Linked DNA regions of Rhinolophus ferrumequinum. The protein of the gene in region 2 purifies or fractionates together with the protein of the main gene of each other region. This does not show direct contact. Links are inferred from orthologs where the notes say so. Each region holds a gene or a part of one and is shown on either strand. Other genes may lie near its edges.

What was found.
Region 1: the proteins of SPAST (region 2) and NUP98 purify together in Homo sapiens (affinity purification with mass spectrometry; 3 studies listed by BioGRID and IntAct, counting the BioPlex papers as one, with this or other methods). This does not show direct contact. The link is inferred for Rhinolophus ferrumequinum from reciprocal best matches to the Homo sapiens genes SPAST and NUP98.

Annotation. Positions count from the first base shown.
Region 1 is NC_046294.1:47,376,084-47,383,829, forward strand, and holds the start of NUP98 (nuclear pore complex protein Nup98-Nup96), read left to right. Parts: upstream 1-4,698; 5' UTR 4,699-4,829; exon of another isoform or gene 4,830-4,954; intron 4,955-7,746. UniProt on the Homo sapiens protein: Plays a role in the nuclear pore complex (NPC) assembly and/or maintenance. NUP98 and NUP96 are involved in the bidirectional transport across the NPC. May anchor NUP153 and TPR to the NPC.
Region 2 is NC_046296.1:49,702,266-49,710,163, forward strand, and holds the start of SPAST (spastin), read right to left. Parts: upstream 3,030-7,898; 5' UTR 2,745-3,029; coding exon 2,336-2,744; intron 1-2,335. UniProt on the Homo sapiens protein: ATP-dependent microtubule severing protein that specifically recognizes and cuts microtubules that are polyglutamylated.

The sequences.
Region 1 (7,746 bases), on a different chromosome or scaffold from region 2:
GAAACTTGTACATGAGTGTTAATAGCAGTACTATTCATAGTAGCCATAAGATGGAACAACTAAAATGTTATTCAACTCATGAATGTATAAACAAAATGTGATATCCATAAAATAAAATATTATTTGACCATAAAAAGGAATGAGGTACTGATGTACAACATGGATGAACCTTGAAAACATTATGCCAAGTGAAATAAATCAGACACAGAGACCGCATATTTATGATTCCATTTATATGAAATGTCCAGACTAGACAAATCCATTGAGACAAAGCAGATTAGTAGTTGCCAGGGGCTGGGGAAGGGGGAGTTGGAGAACGACTGCTAATGGAGCTGGGGTTTCTATTCATGGTTACGAAAATGTTCTGAAATTGGACAGTCGTGATGGTTGCACAACCTTGTGAATATACTAAAATACTAAATATACTAAAAACCTCTGAATTGTACTCTTTAAGTGGGTGAATGTGAATTATATGTGAATTATTATTATACGTGAATTATATCCTCATGTTATGTGAATTATATCTCAATTTAAAAAATCTGACAAAGATCTGGGTTTCAATAAATGGCAATTATTATTATAAATAAATAAATAAAGGAGAGGAGAAATCTGGTCAATATGGCGGAGTAGAATCTTAAAAAAAGAAAACAGTTATTCTCATAAACTAACGCAAGTGAGAAATGTGAGGAGGAAAAATAAATAAAGGAGAGGCAGAAAAATAATTGAAAGGACAGTAGAAAGTATAAAGTGTTAGATAAAATCCTGAATATACCAGTAAATTCATTAACTGCAATGAACTAAATGCTCTAGTTAAAAGTCAAAGGTATTGGGGCTGGCCCGGTGGCTCAGGCGGTTGGAGCTCCATGCTCCTAACTCCGAAGGCTGCCCGTTCGATTCCCACATGGGCCAGAGGGCTCTCAACCACAAGGTTGCCGGTTCCATTTCTCGAGTCCCGCAAGGGATGGTGGGCAGCGCCCCCTGCAACTAAGATTGAACACGGCACCTTGAGCTGAGCTGCCACTGAGCTCCCGGATGGCTCAGTTGGTTGGAGCACGTCCTCTCAACCACAAGGTTGCCGGTTCAACTCCTCCAAGGGATGGTGGGCTGCGCCCAGTGCAACTAGCAATGGCAACCGGACCTGGAGCTGAGCTGCGCCCTCCACAACTAAAATTGAAAGGACAACAAGTTGACTTGGAAAAAAGTCCTGGAAGTAGTACACACTGTTCTTCAATAAAGTCCTGTTCCCTTTCCCCAATTAAAAAAAAAATTTTTTAAAAATCTTAAAAAAAAAGTAATTAAAAAAAAAAGTCAAAGGTATTCACACAAGATTTATAAAAATACATGCTATTTGCAAACATCACCCTTCACTATCAAGTTATAGGAAAAGAGGAAGGAAGTCAACATTTACTGAGTGCTTACTATGTGCCAAACATGTACCCAGTCCAGTCCTTTGCAAATTCCATTATCTTATTTGAACTTTACAACCACCTTATAAAACAGGAATTACTGTGCCCATTTTATAGCAAGAAAACTGGGGCACAGAACAATTAAATAATTTGTGCAAAGTCTAAAAAGTAGCAGATCTGGCAGTTGAACTTAGCTGTATGACTCCAATTCTGCTGCTCTTTCCAATGCACCATGTAAGAAATCTAGAACCATCCCAAGGAAGTGTCTTGCCCTTCCATGATTCTGCAATCTCTAGAGGACTATCTCCTCCCTGAGCTCCAATTCCTCATTGCTGCATAAAGTGAGTTCTCAGGGCATGTATGTGAGAGACTGGGGGTTCCCAGGACAGAACTGGCCATGGCAGAGTTTTGAGCTGTGGACATCTCTGGGCTACTGATGCCAAAACAGGGCTTGGCTCCACAAGCTTTTGTGAACATACACCAAACTCCATGTCTGTAGAAGTTCTTCCCTGGGCAGAAATCCCTGAGAATGATGAGCTTGTGGGCCACATGCCTACAGAGTACCTAACAAGAGTCCTTCACTTCGAAACCACCATGTTCACAGGGAATTCCTCCCTGGAGCATTCCTCATCCAATTCGTCCTCTTCTCCCTCCAGTTTTCCCGCAAGTATTTAAGGGTCCTAGGTCTTGCACACCCACTAGTACTTTGGACTGAATGTCCTCACTCCCTCAAGACATATTTCTGAGCCCCTTTTCTAAGAATCATGTCTTAGACTAATTAGAATTCCTTGACATTTTTAAAGAATATAAATAATATCTACCATTCACTGAGGGATTACTGTGTACCAGGTACCTGATAAGTGCTTTATCACATTTAATTCTCACAATTACCCTGTGGGGAAAGTAGGGTTATCCCCATTTTTACAGACACGGAAACTGAGACTCAGAGGGGTTAAGAAATTTGCCCAAGTTCATACAGCTAATACATGGTTGGGCTCAAATATAAACCCAGGCTTCTCCAACTCAAAAATTTCACACTTCTATTTTTCTACTTAAGAAAATAATTCACTCATTCATGCATCAAACATTTAATGTGCGCCTGTACTGTGTGTTTGGCCTTAAGGACACCAGACTAAATACCGTGTTTCCCCGAAAATAAGACCTAGCCAGACAATCAGCTCTAATGCGTCTTTTGGAACAAAAGTTAATATAAGACCCGGTATTATATTATATTATTATATTATACTATATATTATGCAAGACTGGGCCTTATATTATAGTAAAATAAGACCAGGTCTTATATTAATTTTTGCTCCAAAGGACACATTAGAGTTGATTGTCCGGCTAGGTCTCATTTTCGGGGAAACACAGTAAGTAGGGGAAAGGTTTGGTTGGGTTTGAGGATTGAAAGATGACAAATCAAAGGTTCAGAAGGGCAATGAGGAAGCTATTGTAACTATCCGGGGAGAACTGATGACTTTCTGATGCAGCACATAGGTAAGAGAGGGTGGAGGAAAAAGAGAGATATTTGGGTGGAGGAGTTGGGGGAAGGTGGTTGGAGTCAGATATTCAAACTAGTTTTACTATTCGACACTCCACGTATTTTTTTCCTTCTTCTTTCAAGCATCTACTGAGCACCTACAAGGTACCAGATTTCTCCTATCCATTATCTTATTTCATCTTTATGACCACTCCACTGTTTGACAAATTAATCAATTATCTCCAATCTCTTGCCACCACTGAAAACCCACAGGGATTTAAGGTCACCTACTTTTGGGCAGAGCCCATTTCAATTTTGTATTGATGCCCCAGGAGGAGGCAGGCGGTGGTGGAGAGGTAAATCAAGTAGGCTTTCTGAGCACAGTCGGTGCTATTCTATGTGGGACTCTCAGTCACTAGGCCTAGTTTTTAGAACATGCTCAACCCTCCCCTTTGTAATATCAGGCTTCTGCACCAGGCTTGGCCCAAGGGAAAGGAACACCAATATTAAAGAAAAAAACCATAGGCCCAAGATGGCATCACTGATGCCAAAAGCCCATAATACCAAACCTCGATTTAATAATTGATCTAATTGTATTTTCAACCTCTCCTAGAAACATGACCTTAATCAAACCACTATGAAAATTTCTGGTCAAGCACCAGTGAGGTAACCTGTCACACAGGCCCTCTCCATCCTCCATAGAAAGGAGTAATCTACATAATAAAAACCCTTCCCCTTCTCCTCCCTCAAAGAAAAGATGTCAGAGCCCCAAAATAATCCTTACTTTTGCTAATAGCTCCCTTGCCTCACCCTTCTTCCTATAAAATCCTTCCATTTGTACAACCTCTCAGTTGCCTTTCCAGTTGCTAGATGGGATGCTGCCCAATTAATGAATGGCTTAATAAAGCCAATCAGATCTGCAAATTTACTTGGTTGAATTTTGTTTTTTAACACCAAGATGAAGAAAATGCAGCTCTGACCTCCAAGAGCCGCGGCACAGAAGACAGGAAAGTAATAGGATACAAAGTGACAAGGCTGTAACAGAGGCCTGCCCAAGCATTAACCCAACTTGCTGAGAGAGATTCAGCGAATGTATCCTAGAGAAGGTGGGAGCATTTGAACAGAACTTTAAGAATAACTGGGGATTCCTAAAGGGCAGGTGGGAAAGAAGTTCCAAGAATCCTCATTTGTACCAAGTTTTTTGCTGAACCATCCCCTTAGGGCATCTCTGATGCTCATAACATCTATTCTAGGGATTCCGAGAGGGAAAGGTGCTGGGGCTTGCGTGGGACAGGAGACCAGAAGGCCTGGTTTTAAGGCCTCGGAGCAGCTGCAGGAAAGCTACGCGGGCAGTCAGAGTTCCCAGGGGGGCCCTCTAGCTCTATAAGAGGTCTGGCCAAGAAGTGAGGGAAGGACGACCGGGAAACCTTCCCATCACCGCCCACGGATTGGGGCAAGGTGTGGGTAGAATAGTTACCATGCCATCCTGGAGCCTTTCCTCTGATTGGCTGGAGCTTCAGCAGCGGGTCTCTTCGCTCCAAGGAAGTGGGCGGAGCTTCGATAAGCGTCACCGCTCTTCTCCCACACCCCGCCCAACGTAGCCACTCACCAGCCCACTTCGAGGGGCCCTGTGTTACGTCACGACTCTCTCCCAGCCAACGGCGGCGGTGAGGGCCAGAGCTCCACGTCCCTCCCACCAACCCTCCCCCTTCCTCCCCCTAACTTCTTAGGCCCCTCCTCTTCCTCTTCTCCCCTTCTCTCAAAGACCTCCCTCACGTTGGGTTTCAAAAGAGTCGTTGCCCAATGAGTAACAGGGTGGGCCTAGAGTGGCGGCGGCGTTTGCCAATGCTCAGGCAGCGAGGGCGGAGCGCCCGGAGCGAGCCTCTGACGGCGGGCGGCGTGTGACGCAGTCGGGCCCACTGTGCGCTGCGCCCGAAGCGGCGGTAGGTATCGGCGGTGGCAGCGGCGGCGACGGTTTCGTGGCAGCCGCGCGCTGCTCGCTGAGCGGCGGGTGGTGGACGGGCCTAGGCCCTCACTCTTGACATTTCCCCTCCCCCACCGCACCACGGTAAGTCGGTAGTCGGGGCGGTGGCGGCCAGGGACCGGCAGGCTCCTCCTTTCTTCAGGGCGGGCGGTGCGCCGGGCGTCCCAGGGCCTCTCCGCGCCGAAGTCTCGCGCCCCGGCGGCACCTTCTGCCCTGAGGGAGGGGGCGGGGCCCGCAATCCTGCGGCCGGGAGGCCCGGCTCTTCCGGAACTGGAAGGGAATCGCTCTTGGTGGGGTCTGGGTCCGGGGTGTCTCCGGTCGCAGCCTACGCTGAGGGAGCGTCCATCAATCCAGGCTCATTCATTTGCCCGGCGGTGACTAGGTGGGCCGGTCCTTAGCGGGAACAGCGCTTTAACACCAGGAATATGGTCTCCCTGCACTTCCTTGACTGTTGTGTGGGATGGGCTTTATTTGCCTTGTCCTCTCCTACAGGAGACATTTGCAGCCCCAGGGTTGGGGTGGGTGGGTCGGGAGTTTGTTAGCTTTTTAAAACACCCGAGAATTAAGGTCGGTTTAGTGGAGTAAAAGATTATTTTCTGGCCTCCCACGTGTTCCATGTAAAGCTAGATGAGAAGAAAGATGGGGTTTCTGGATTACTATAATATATAGCCATAAGGATCTTAGAAATTAAGCCCATTTCCCTACTTCATATCACGTACAGGTTTTACAGATGAAGAAACCGAGGCCAGTGAAGGGACAGAATTAGCCAATTCCAGATCTGGCCCAGTCTAAAAATATGTCTACTACATCACTCTCCCTTGGTGTTCCACTTTCCATTATGAGGACTCCCTTCGGTTGTAGGGGTGAGGGACGGGGGCTGTCGGTAGTTAGAAGTAGGTACAGTCTTCAGTAGCGTTTCCGACTTAGTTACCACCAGCTCTGTTTGATTAGTGGTACCCTAAAACTAGACCATGAAAACTAAATTTAAACTTTGGTTAAAGAATGCTAGTAATGTTATGTATTGGAAAAACGAATCGGTAAAACCAGAAGTCATTGGCTAGTTTCCTGTTCCAAACCTAAAATTTTTATTTGTAGCAGCTGCAGGGGACTCAGAAGAAAGTGTCTGGTTAATGACCCACAGCAGTATTGGAGTAGAAAGCAGGAAATATAGCTGAGACTTAGAAAGGCAGACAGTCATTTTGTAGTTCTTGTATCTTGAAACTCATGGCTTCTCTCTGGTACAGAATTTAAAGTTTTGTAGTAGAAGAAGGTAAGAAAAATTAAACTCCGTTTTGGAAGAGGAAACTAACTAGAAGAAAGAAAAGAGAAGTAAGCGGTCCCTGTGACAGCCTTATAAATTCAGAAAGAAATGCTTGTGAATTGGGTGACAGATGCTATGTTTATTTGGTGGAAGAAGTCAGGATATTTAAAACACAAAACCAGAAGTTGGACAGGATGGAGGTACTGGGGAATACTTTGATAAAAGTATTTTTTGACTCTTCATTAAGATTTGATGAAATTGAATTTGTTGCTGCTTTGGTCTGTTTACATCACTCGGATCACCACTTTGCTCTTGTTTAGATGACAAAGCAAAAACTGAAAGATAGTGTGTAAGAGCAGAAGAGAACTGTAGTCTAAATACTAAAATGTGAACAAGGTATATTTTCTGTGACATTTCTCAGTTCAAGCATCACCCTATTCTAGGAAGCCTTTCCTGGCATTTTCTCCCCTGTAAGCTTCCGTAACACTTGTTTGATACTTTTATTTATAGCACAAATCATTTTGTGTTTTAGCTGTTTGTCTTTTTATTAGACTGGTAAAATATTTTTGTCTTTGTATTCAGGTTGACACATAGTAGGACCTCAGTAAGTGTGTTTGCTTGAATGAATAAATAAATACGGAGGAGTTAAACCTAAAAATAGTCTATAAAGAGGTTGGGTATTTGTGTGCTCCTGAAATGTGGGGCCCAGGTTAGAGTTCACATGGTACTTTGGTACCTGACCTTATTCACGTCCACTAGCACCTAGATAGCTAAGAGCAAGTAGAACTTTTAGGGAACCAATTTAACAGCTTAGGAAAAATAAGTTATTTTTATTGTGATATTTTTATGGTGGTAATTAACCTAGGAAGTAAGGGGTAGTAGTGCTGATGTTTAATTTCAAATAAAGAGCACATTTATAGTTATGAAATCTGTTGAAAGGTTGAAGGATTTAGAGATTTAACAATAAGTATTAGAGCCAAGTTATGTAAACATTTCTTGACAATTTGGTGCATTCTTTATGTTTGGAATTGAACCTAAATACAGTAATTCCTCATGTGGCATCGTCGATAGGTTCTTGGACCTGCAGCAAAACATTGTATAACGAAACCAGTTTTACCATAGGCGAATTGATATTAACAAGAGTTCCAATCACATCTCATCAACGTTATAATAAAATGACAATGTTGCGTGAAATGATATTATTGGAGGACTTGCTGTGTTCAACATAGTGTGTCTGTAGAACAAGGTTTCTCGGCCTCGGCGCTTAGCACTTTGGGCCGGATAATTCTTTATTATGAGGGAGCTGTCTTGTGTATTGTAGAATGTTTATTTAGCAGCATTCCTGGCCTCTGCCTATTAGATACCTGTAATACCCCCTCCCCAAGTTGTAACAATCCAGAATGTCTCCAGACATTGTCAGATGCCCCCTGGGTGGCAAACTTGCCCCTGATTGAGACCATTACTCTAGAGAAAACATTCCCAATATTTCCGTAAAATCATATCTTTATGGTGCCTGGTGTATGCTTGTAAAGTCAGCTAATAAGTTGTGTTTCGTTAAAATTGTCCTTGAAAAAACCTTAAATTGTCGAAATCTAGTGGGAAGCTGAAAAGATTA
Region 2 (7,898 bases):
GTTTAACAGAGTTAGGAAAACTTTGAAGACTGCCTATCCAGTTCATTTCTATTTGTTTATATGTATGTATGTTTGTTGTTGTTGATATATATTTTAATGCAGTGTGAAAGAGGGAGAATGAAATTCTCTTGGAATTAAGTTCTGTATTGTCAAGGATGGCTCTGAGGCAAATAGACTTCAAATGTGAATTCTTACACCAACTCGATTAAGGCTGAAGTACAAAATTTTTCAATATGCTAAAGGAAAAACTTAAGATAGAACCATGACAATATGAACTCTGTTTTACTTCATTTTTACAGGAAAATGAATATATAACTAATTTGTTTGTTTGAATTTATTTTCTCATGATTCATCAGTTATAGAATTCAAACTGAAGAGTTATCATAGCCCATTCTGATGTTCACTTTAGAAATTAACACATAAATAAAACAAAAGCCTTTGAATACAAACATCATCAGTAGAAAGAGGGTGAAATAAGGGGCACGTAGATTGCTGAAATATTTATACATAAGGAAATATGTTAGAAGGATTTAAATATAATATATGCATATGTGATACTCAAAGATAAATCACTAGCATGAAACTCAAGGTCTGAATTCTACTTCTGTCACGAATCCTCACACAGAACTGATTTTTCTGCTAATCTAAGAGCCTAGGGTCTTTTTCCTTTTCCATACCTCGGTTTTCCTTGACCTCTCTCCTTATCCTACCTCCCAACGCCCACCACCCAGTATTAACTAGAATTTTATTTTCTGGCATTCTCTTCCTAAACACAACAATTAATCTACCTTTAAACATATTTCCTCTACTCAAAAACATCTTTTGACCTAGATTAATCAACTTCAGAGGACCCTATTGTAATAGGGTACTGCAATAAAACAGTGCTTCTCTAGGAAAGGACGATGGTACCCTTCTTCATCCTCCCCAAGAGATCCTTGGATGTTCCTAAGAGGTGGTAAAGAATGAAGCAGTTAACAAAACACTTCCTTCCAGAAATACATGGTATTTTTTCTTAAGTGTGTCTCCTTCCTTGAACCCTCTTAACCTCCACTCTTACACTCCAAAACCACCAATCACTGCCTTTCCTTATATCCTACTTCTTACTACCTCGCCCCACCAAAGAAATAGGTTTCAACAAAACTGAAATTCTAGAACAGTCTCTGGAGTTGATAGTGGAGAGAGAGCGACTACAAATGAAGTGCAGATTGGCTTTTTTTTTTTTAATTTAACTAATGGACAATGCAAGTGAGTACTTAATTGAGGTGTGGTAGAAAACTATTCTTTGGTAGTTAGAGGGAAAAGAAAATCTCAGCATACTGGAGTTGGGATGAAAACAGGAATTTTCAAAATGTTATTCCTAATTTCATTTATCATCTTCCATAAAAAAAACTTTCATTAGCAACTAGCATAGGTTTGGAATGATCTGCTTTAATCTTTGGAGCCTTAGTTTGTTCATCTGTAACATGCTGACAGTAACAGTACCTTCACCTCACAGGGTAATTGTGAGGATTAAATAGATAACACATGCAAAGCTAAGAGCACCGTGCCTGACACATAGAAAGGCTAAAAAACATTAGCTTAAAAGGAATCTGAAGGATGTAGTATCTTTGCTTTCGTTCAGAAACATTTTAAGTTTTATTGTAAAATGGTATAAGTTTATCCTACTCATTCACTTAACATTTCAATTTAGAAACACAGAGGCTACCTTGGAATACTGATTTAGATAAAATCAAACTAACCAGAGACAAAGTTTTACGCTAAAACTTTACTGAAAAATACTTAGGAGTCATTATACTGATCAAATGACTGTCATGAAACTTTAAAAATGCAAATTCAGCTGTAATCATATGCAGCTGTTCTTTTCAAAATTAAGTCACCATTTGTTCTTTTTTTTTGACACTACAGTACTCTGCTTTCATTAAAAGGCTATAACAAGGCACAGCTTCTTCGATATCAAAACCTTTTAGAAACCTGGCTCAAAGGAAGACACACTGTTTACAGTGCGAGAAAGAATCCGTGTGGTCACTCTAGGACAACTGTCACTGTCATCAGCACGTCCAGATATCTCATAGAGACTTGGGTCCTGAGAAGTGTAGGGGAAGGCCGGTGTCTGAAACCAAGTCGACAGCTAGAGCGCCCTGAAAGGGGAGAGATTTTAACTGAGAATCGTAGAGGATGAAGGTCTGACTGCGGGGAAGCAGTCTCATGGGGCGGATCAATTCCGGGGGTGCACAGCCCGCTCCCGCAGGAAAGGGACGCAGGTGTTGCCCTCTTTCGGCGACCCCACCAATTTCTTCCCGGCGCCGCCGCCCCTTCCCCCCAGCCCTCCGGTTACCTTTCTCGTCCTCATCGATGCGCAGGGCAACAGAGATGTACTCGAAGGCCTGTTTGTGGAAGGCTCGGACGCGCTCAGCCTCCCCGCCCGGCACCGGCGCCGGTGGTGAGGCCGACGACGGCGCAGCCGGGGAGCTCCTCTTGGCGGCCATGAGGGCGCGGGAGAAGCGCTGGCAGAGCCACACGAAGAGGAGCCCCAGGTGGAAGGCGACCAAACGCAGCAGCGCGAAGCCTACGAACAGCGGGTAGGAGAAGTAGTACAGGTTCCGCTTATGCAGCGACTCCGGCGGAGGGGCCGGCCTGGGGGCGGGACGGGCGGGGGCCAGGCAGGGGGGCGGAGGCCTGGGAGGCACCGGGCTGCTGGCGCCGCCGGAGCCTTTTTTCTTCCCTCGTCCGCCCGGAGAATTCATTCACAGCTCCCACTGCCGCCGCCGCCATAACCCGTCTCCCGCAGACCGACGGCGACTAAGGGACGGCAGCGGCCACAGGGACGGCGAGGGCCAAAACCCCCGCGCGCTGGCAGGTCCCAAGAGCTCGGCACCTCCACACGCGGCTCGTCGGCCCCGCCCCTTTCTCCTCTCAAGGCCGGGAGCACAACCCCTTCTCCTCCTCCTGCGGTCGTTGGTTTCTGCCCCTCCCTCTCTCTGTCCTCTCAGCCGCCTCCGGTAGCTCAGAGAGGCGGCCGCGCGCGCACGCCGTCCCGTGTCTTTCTCCGGCGCGCGCGCGCACGCCGCCGTCTTTTGTTGCCCTGAGCTCCTAGTGCGCTTGTGCGGCGTCCGCCCCTCGGTCCCTTCCCTGAGGAACTAAAGTTCCCAGTGTGCAGTTCGGCTCTACGCGATGGGCTCGGACCGTCGCTGCGGGTTTAACCGCCCCTGGGAGCTCCTGAGCTGGGAACGTTGCTCAACTCACAGTAGGGACGGCAGCAGTTTGGCGTCGCTCGGCTAGGTCGCTGGGTTTCTGTCTCGGAGTGTCATCGTTTTCTTATATGTATTTCTTTTAGCGTTTTCTGCCAATCTTCCGCAAAGGATAATTAACTTGAGTTCTATCTCAAGCAATAGGTACCAAATCTGGTAATTATCTGAGATGGGTGCAGTAGTAGAGACGTACAAACGTAAGGTCACTCAAAACGATAATGTTAGCTCAGTGGAATGACGTCAACGATTCCAGAGGTTTAAATTAGTACATGTTTAGATGAAGACAATTTGCTTGAATAAGGGAATCAAGTTTTGGACAGTAATCATCCCATAGTTCACTGAGGAAACCATACGGGGCCTTTTTTGAAAAAAAAAAAAATTCTATTCGATGTACCTTCCTTTGGGGATCTACCTACATACCTCTGCTGCCTGTAGTCTAATGAGCTGCAAGCACAGAACCCCACCTCCCAGATCACAGAAGTAGACATACTAGGTCATTGATACTCTCCTAGAAACTGAAATCTTGGATGGAGATACACTGGGATAAAAGGTAGTAGGAACTGAGTGCCCTAAAGAGCTGGTCTATCAGTTCATCTCCCTGAGATCCCCAGAGATGCCAGGTTCCTAGACTGGTCACTTGATAATGTAACCTATCCAATAAAACTACTCAGTCTATTTCTCTGTTTCTGTTTCTCTTCTTCCTCTCCCTTTCTCCTTCCCTCCTCTCTCTCCATCCATCTCTCTACCTCTCTCTTTTTTCTCTTTTTATTTGGGTTAGTCATAATTGTTTTATGTTACCTAAAACTAAGGAATGCTAACTGATACAAAGTCCCCATTGTTTACAGTGTGAGGTTTACAAATGCTTCAGGCCAGCTTCCAAGAATCTCCACATTCTGGCCACAACTTTATCTAAATTTTTCCCACCACTACTTCCCTACAAATATAGGCTACTGTAAAAAATAACCATCTCCCTATTTCTTTCCTATTTTTCCTCTCTTCAACCCCTTTTCCTGCCTCTGTTTTTTCTGAAATGCCCTCTCTAATATCTGATTCATTTCAATTCCTGGCTTTTTTCTTTTGAACCCCACAGTACTTTTTGTTGTGTGAAATCTATTACATTTAAACATATATCATGTACACAAGATATGTGTAACATATCTGTAGTTTAAAATGATAAACAGGATCCAGTTTAAGAAAAACTAATGTAACCAGTTCCTTGAAGAACTCTATGACCCCTCCCTAATTTCAATTTCTTTTCTCCCCCTCTGGAGGAAGCCACTATCCTGAATTTTGTACTCATCATTTCTTTGACTTTCGTTTTAGTTTTGCAATGTATGTAGTTATCTCTAAACAACATAATTTTGCCTGATTTTGACACAATTATACTGCATGTTTTCTTCTTAATTAGCTTTTTCTGCTCAATATTTAAGTGTTGGAGATTTCTGCTTGTTTTGTATAATTATAGTACTTTTATTTTCACTGCTATATTCCATTATATAAATTTACCACAATTTATTTTACTATTTAACTGTTGGTGGATATTCAGTTTGGTGCCAGGATATATTTTTCCTTATGTAACTAACTTTTTAATTTACTCAAGACATGGCCCAATACAGTGTTCTGGAATCAAAATGGTTGTATTCAAATCCCTGCTCCATCACTTTCTGTGAGCTTGGATTAGTGACAGCTTCCACAGCTCTGTTTCAGTTTCCACATCTATTACATAATAACAGAGAAGTAGGCAGTGCCTGGAATGAAGTTGTTGCTTATTTGTTGAATGAAGAACGGCGCTCCCATAGCTACACATATAAACTAAAACTAAAACTAAAACTATTGACAAGTGTGAGCATTCTTTACTCTCTCCTGGGACTATAATTCTCATTCATTTTTCTTTCCCGTAGAATTGCTTCTCTTCCAACCTCCACTGTCAAAATCTTTCAAGGCTTAACTGTAATGTTATTTTCTTGATTAATCCTTCCCTTATCACCTCCAGCAGAAATAATCCTATTTTTTAATTCTTATGACAATATGGTTGTTACTCGATGGCTCTTTTAATACAGTGCCTTGTGTAATAGTTACTTAAATACTTTATCACCTCCTGATATAGATTATAAACTTATTTCAAGGCAGTGGACAAACTTTACATAATTTGTCTCACTTTCTGCACCTCGCCTGATGCCTTGCTGTTGGTATTCATTTAATAAATATTAATAATTTTAAAAACAATTCAAATATGGTGATTGTTGTAGATATCTGTTGTTGTGTAATAAGCCACTCCAAAACTTACTGGTTTAAGGTAACAGCCATTTATTTACTTACAATTCTATGAGTCAGCATTTTGAGCTAGGTTCAGCTGGATGGTTCTTATGCCAGCCTTGCGTAGGGTTATTCATGTGGATGAAGTCATCTGATGGCTTGACTGGGCTGGGTGACTTAGTTATCCTCACGCACACGTCCAGATGCAGGTGGTGGCTATTCGCTGGGGTATATGTCTCCAGCAGGATATTCCAGACTTTTTTATATAGCATCTGGCTTCCAAGACAGTATGAGTGGAAGCTGCAAACCCTCTTAAAGCCTAAACTCTAAAGTTGTACAATGTAATTTCTGTTGCATTCTGTCATGAAAGCAAATCACAAGGCCAACTCCAGTTTAAGAGATGGGAAAATAAATTCTACATCTTGATGGAGGAGTGGCAAAGGCACATTGTAAAGGGATATATTCATATATATATATAATTCCATATGGAATTATTGTGGCATCTTTGCAAGTAATCTACCACCATGATTATATGTAGAATTTCCTTTTACCTCAGGTTCACATTGGAGCTTAGGATGGACCACTCATCTAAGAAAGCATTTCCCAACCATTTTTCGGAATTATAGAAACCTTCTTAGTTTCAATCATGAGGTAAATTAACTTACTTAAATTTAAGGAGACAACAACAACAATGATGATGATGACTATTATTACTAACATTTACTGAACCCATATTCTGGGCTAAGCAGTTTAACTTTTACTCTCTTATGTAATCATCACTATTTGAGTTAAACGATATTGTTTCCATTTTTTTATTTATTTATTGGGGTGACAACTGTTAATAAAATTACATAGGTTTCAGGTGTACAATTCTGTATTACATCATCTATAAATCCCATTGTGTGTTCACCACCCAGAGTCACTTCTCCTTCCATTACCATATATTTGATCCCCTTACCCTCATCTCCCACCCCCCAACCCCCTTACTCTCTGGTAACCACTAAACTATTGTCTGTGTCTATGAGTTTTTGTTTCTCACTTGTTTGTCTTGTTCTTTTGTTGTTTTTGGTTTATATACCACATATCAGTTAAATCGTATGGTTCTCTGCTTTTTCTGTCTGACTTATGTAGCTTAGCATTATACTCTCAAGATCCATCCATGTTGTCACAAATGTTCCTATATCATCTTTTCTTACTCCATTTTTTAAAATAAGAAATTTGAGACTCTAACATTACTTGCTCAACAGCATATATTAGTTAATGACACATCTACTTCAGGTCTTAAGGTAAAAATCTAGGCTTGCTTCCAGAAAAAAACATTTTTATATCATCTGTTTATATTTTATTAATTATGAAATAAATACGTTTTTAGCCCCTGGAGCAGGAGTAATCTTTCCTTCCTGGTCATCCAGATGTTGAGTTTCTGGCCTCTGGCCTTCCACTTGTTAAGTCTCTACTATCCAGTTGTACTTAATTTTGACTGTGCATTTCTGTACCTTGGCCATTTTTTATTTTTTGGCATGGTAAAAATATGGCATTGAGAGTCAGAAAGACTCTAGTTCCGCCACTTAGTTGTGTGATGTGGGACAAGTTCTTTGGTTAACTCCTGTGTAAAAGAAACTGAATAAGAATTAAATTACAAAATGAAAAAATCTAAAACCTCCAGGAAAAGTCCTGTAACATAAGAAAGCTTAATCAATTTATTTGTTTTTGTCTCTTATGCCTACAGTGCCATTTCACAATTCAGAAAGTACTGGGATCTCAATTTTTAGTAATCGCAACCCACATCTTCTGCCTCTTGGAATTATATCCCAGTCACACCCATTTTCTGAATTAACATCTTTCTAAATGTATCTCAAGAAAAATAGTGCCTGAATGTCACCCTGGCCTTATAATCTGCCTGGACTGAGGATTCTAACCTCAGCCATTTAATCTACAGCGTGACAGCCTCCCAGTTTTCAGATGGTAAGAACTTGCAGGACACTTAATCTTGAATGGAATCTGGGCCAGTGTCACCAGGACAAAAAGGAGGAACTGAGTACTGTGCTAACTAATCCAGGACATTTGGTCACTTTATCACTTTAACCCATTAATCTATTTACGAAGTAACTATCACCAAATAGTTGTTTGGATATTTTAGCTCTACTTCTAAGGAACTCCCTAAATCTTTATCTTGAGATATGCTGGATTATTTGAAGTAGGGACCAATGACAGATGTTAAGGACCTCTTTTAAATGAAAAAAATAATAGTAAGTAAAATAAAATGGCATACCTAGAACCAAGAGAGGAGATGACTGATTTTGAGAAAAGCAGAAAACTTAAAAGAAACAAAAGACATGGTTGAAGGTGAGGGATGGGAACAATCAGGGGATTATCATCCTATAGCTGTGTTAA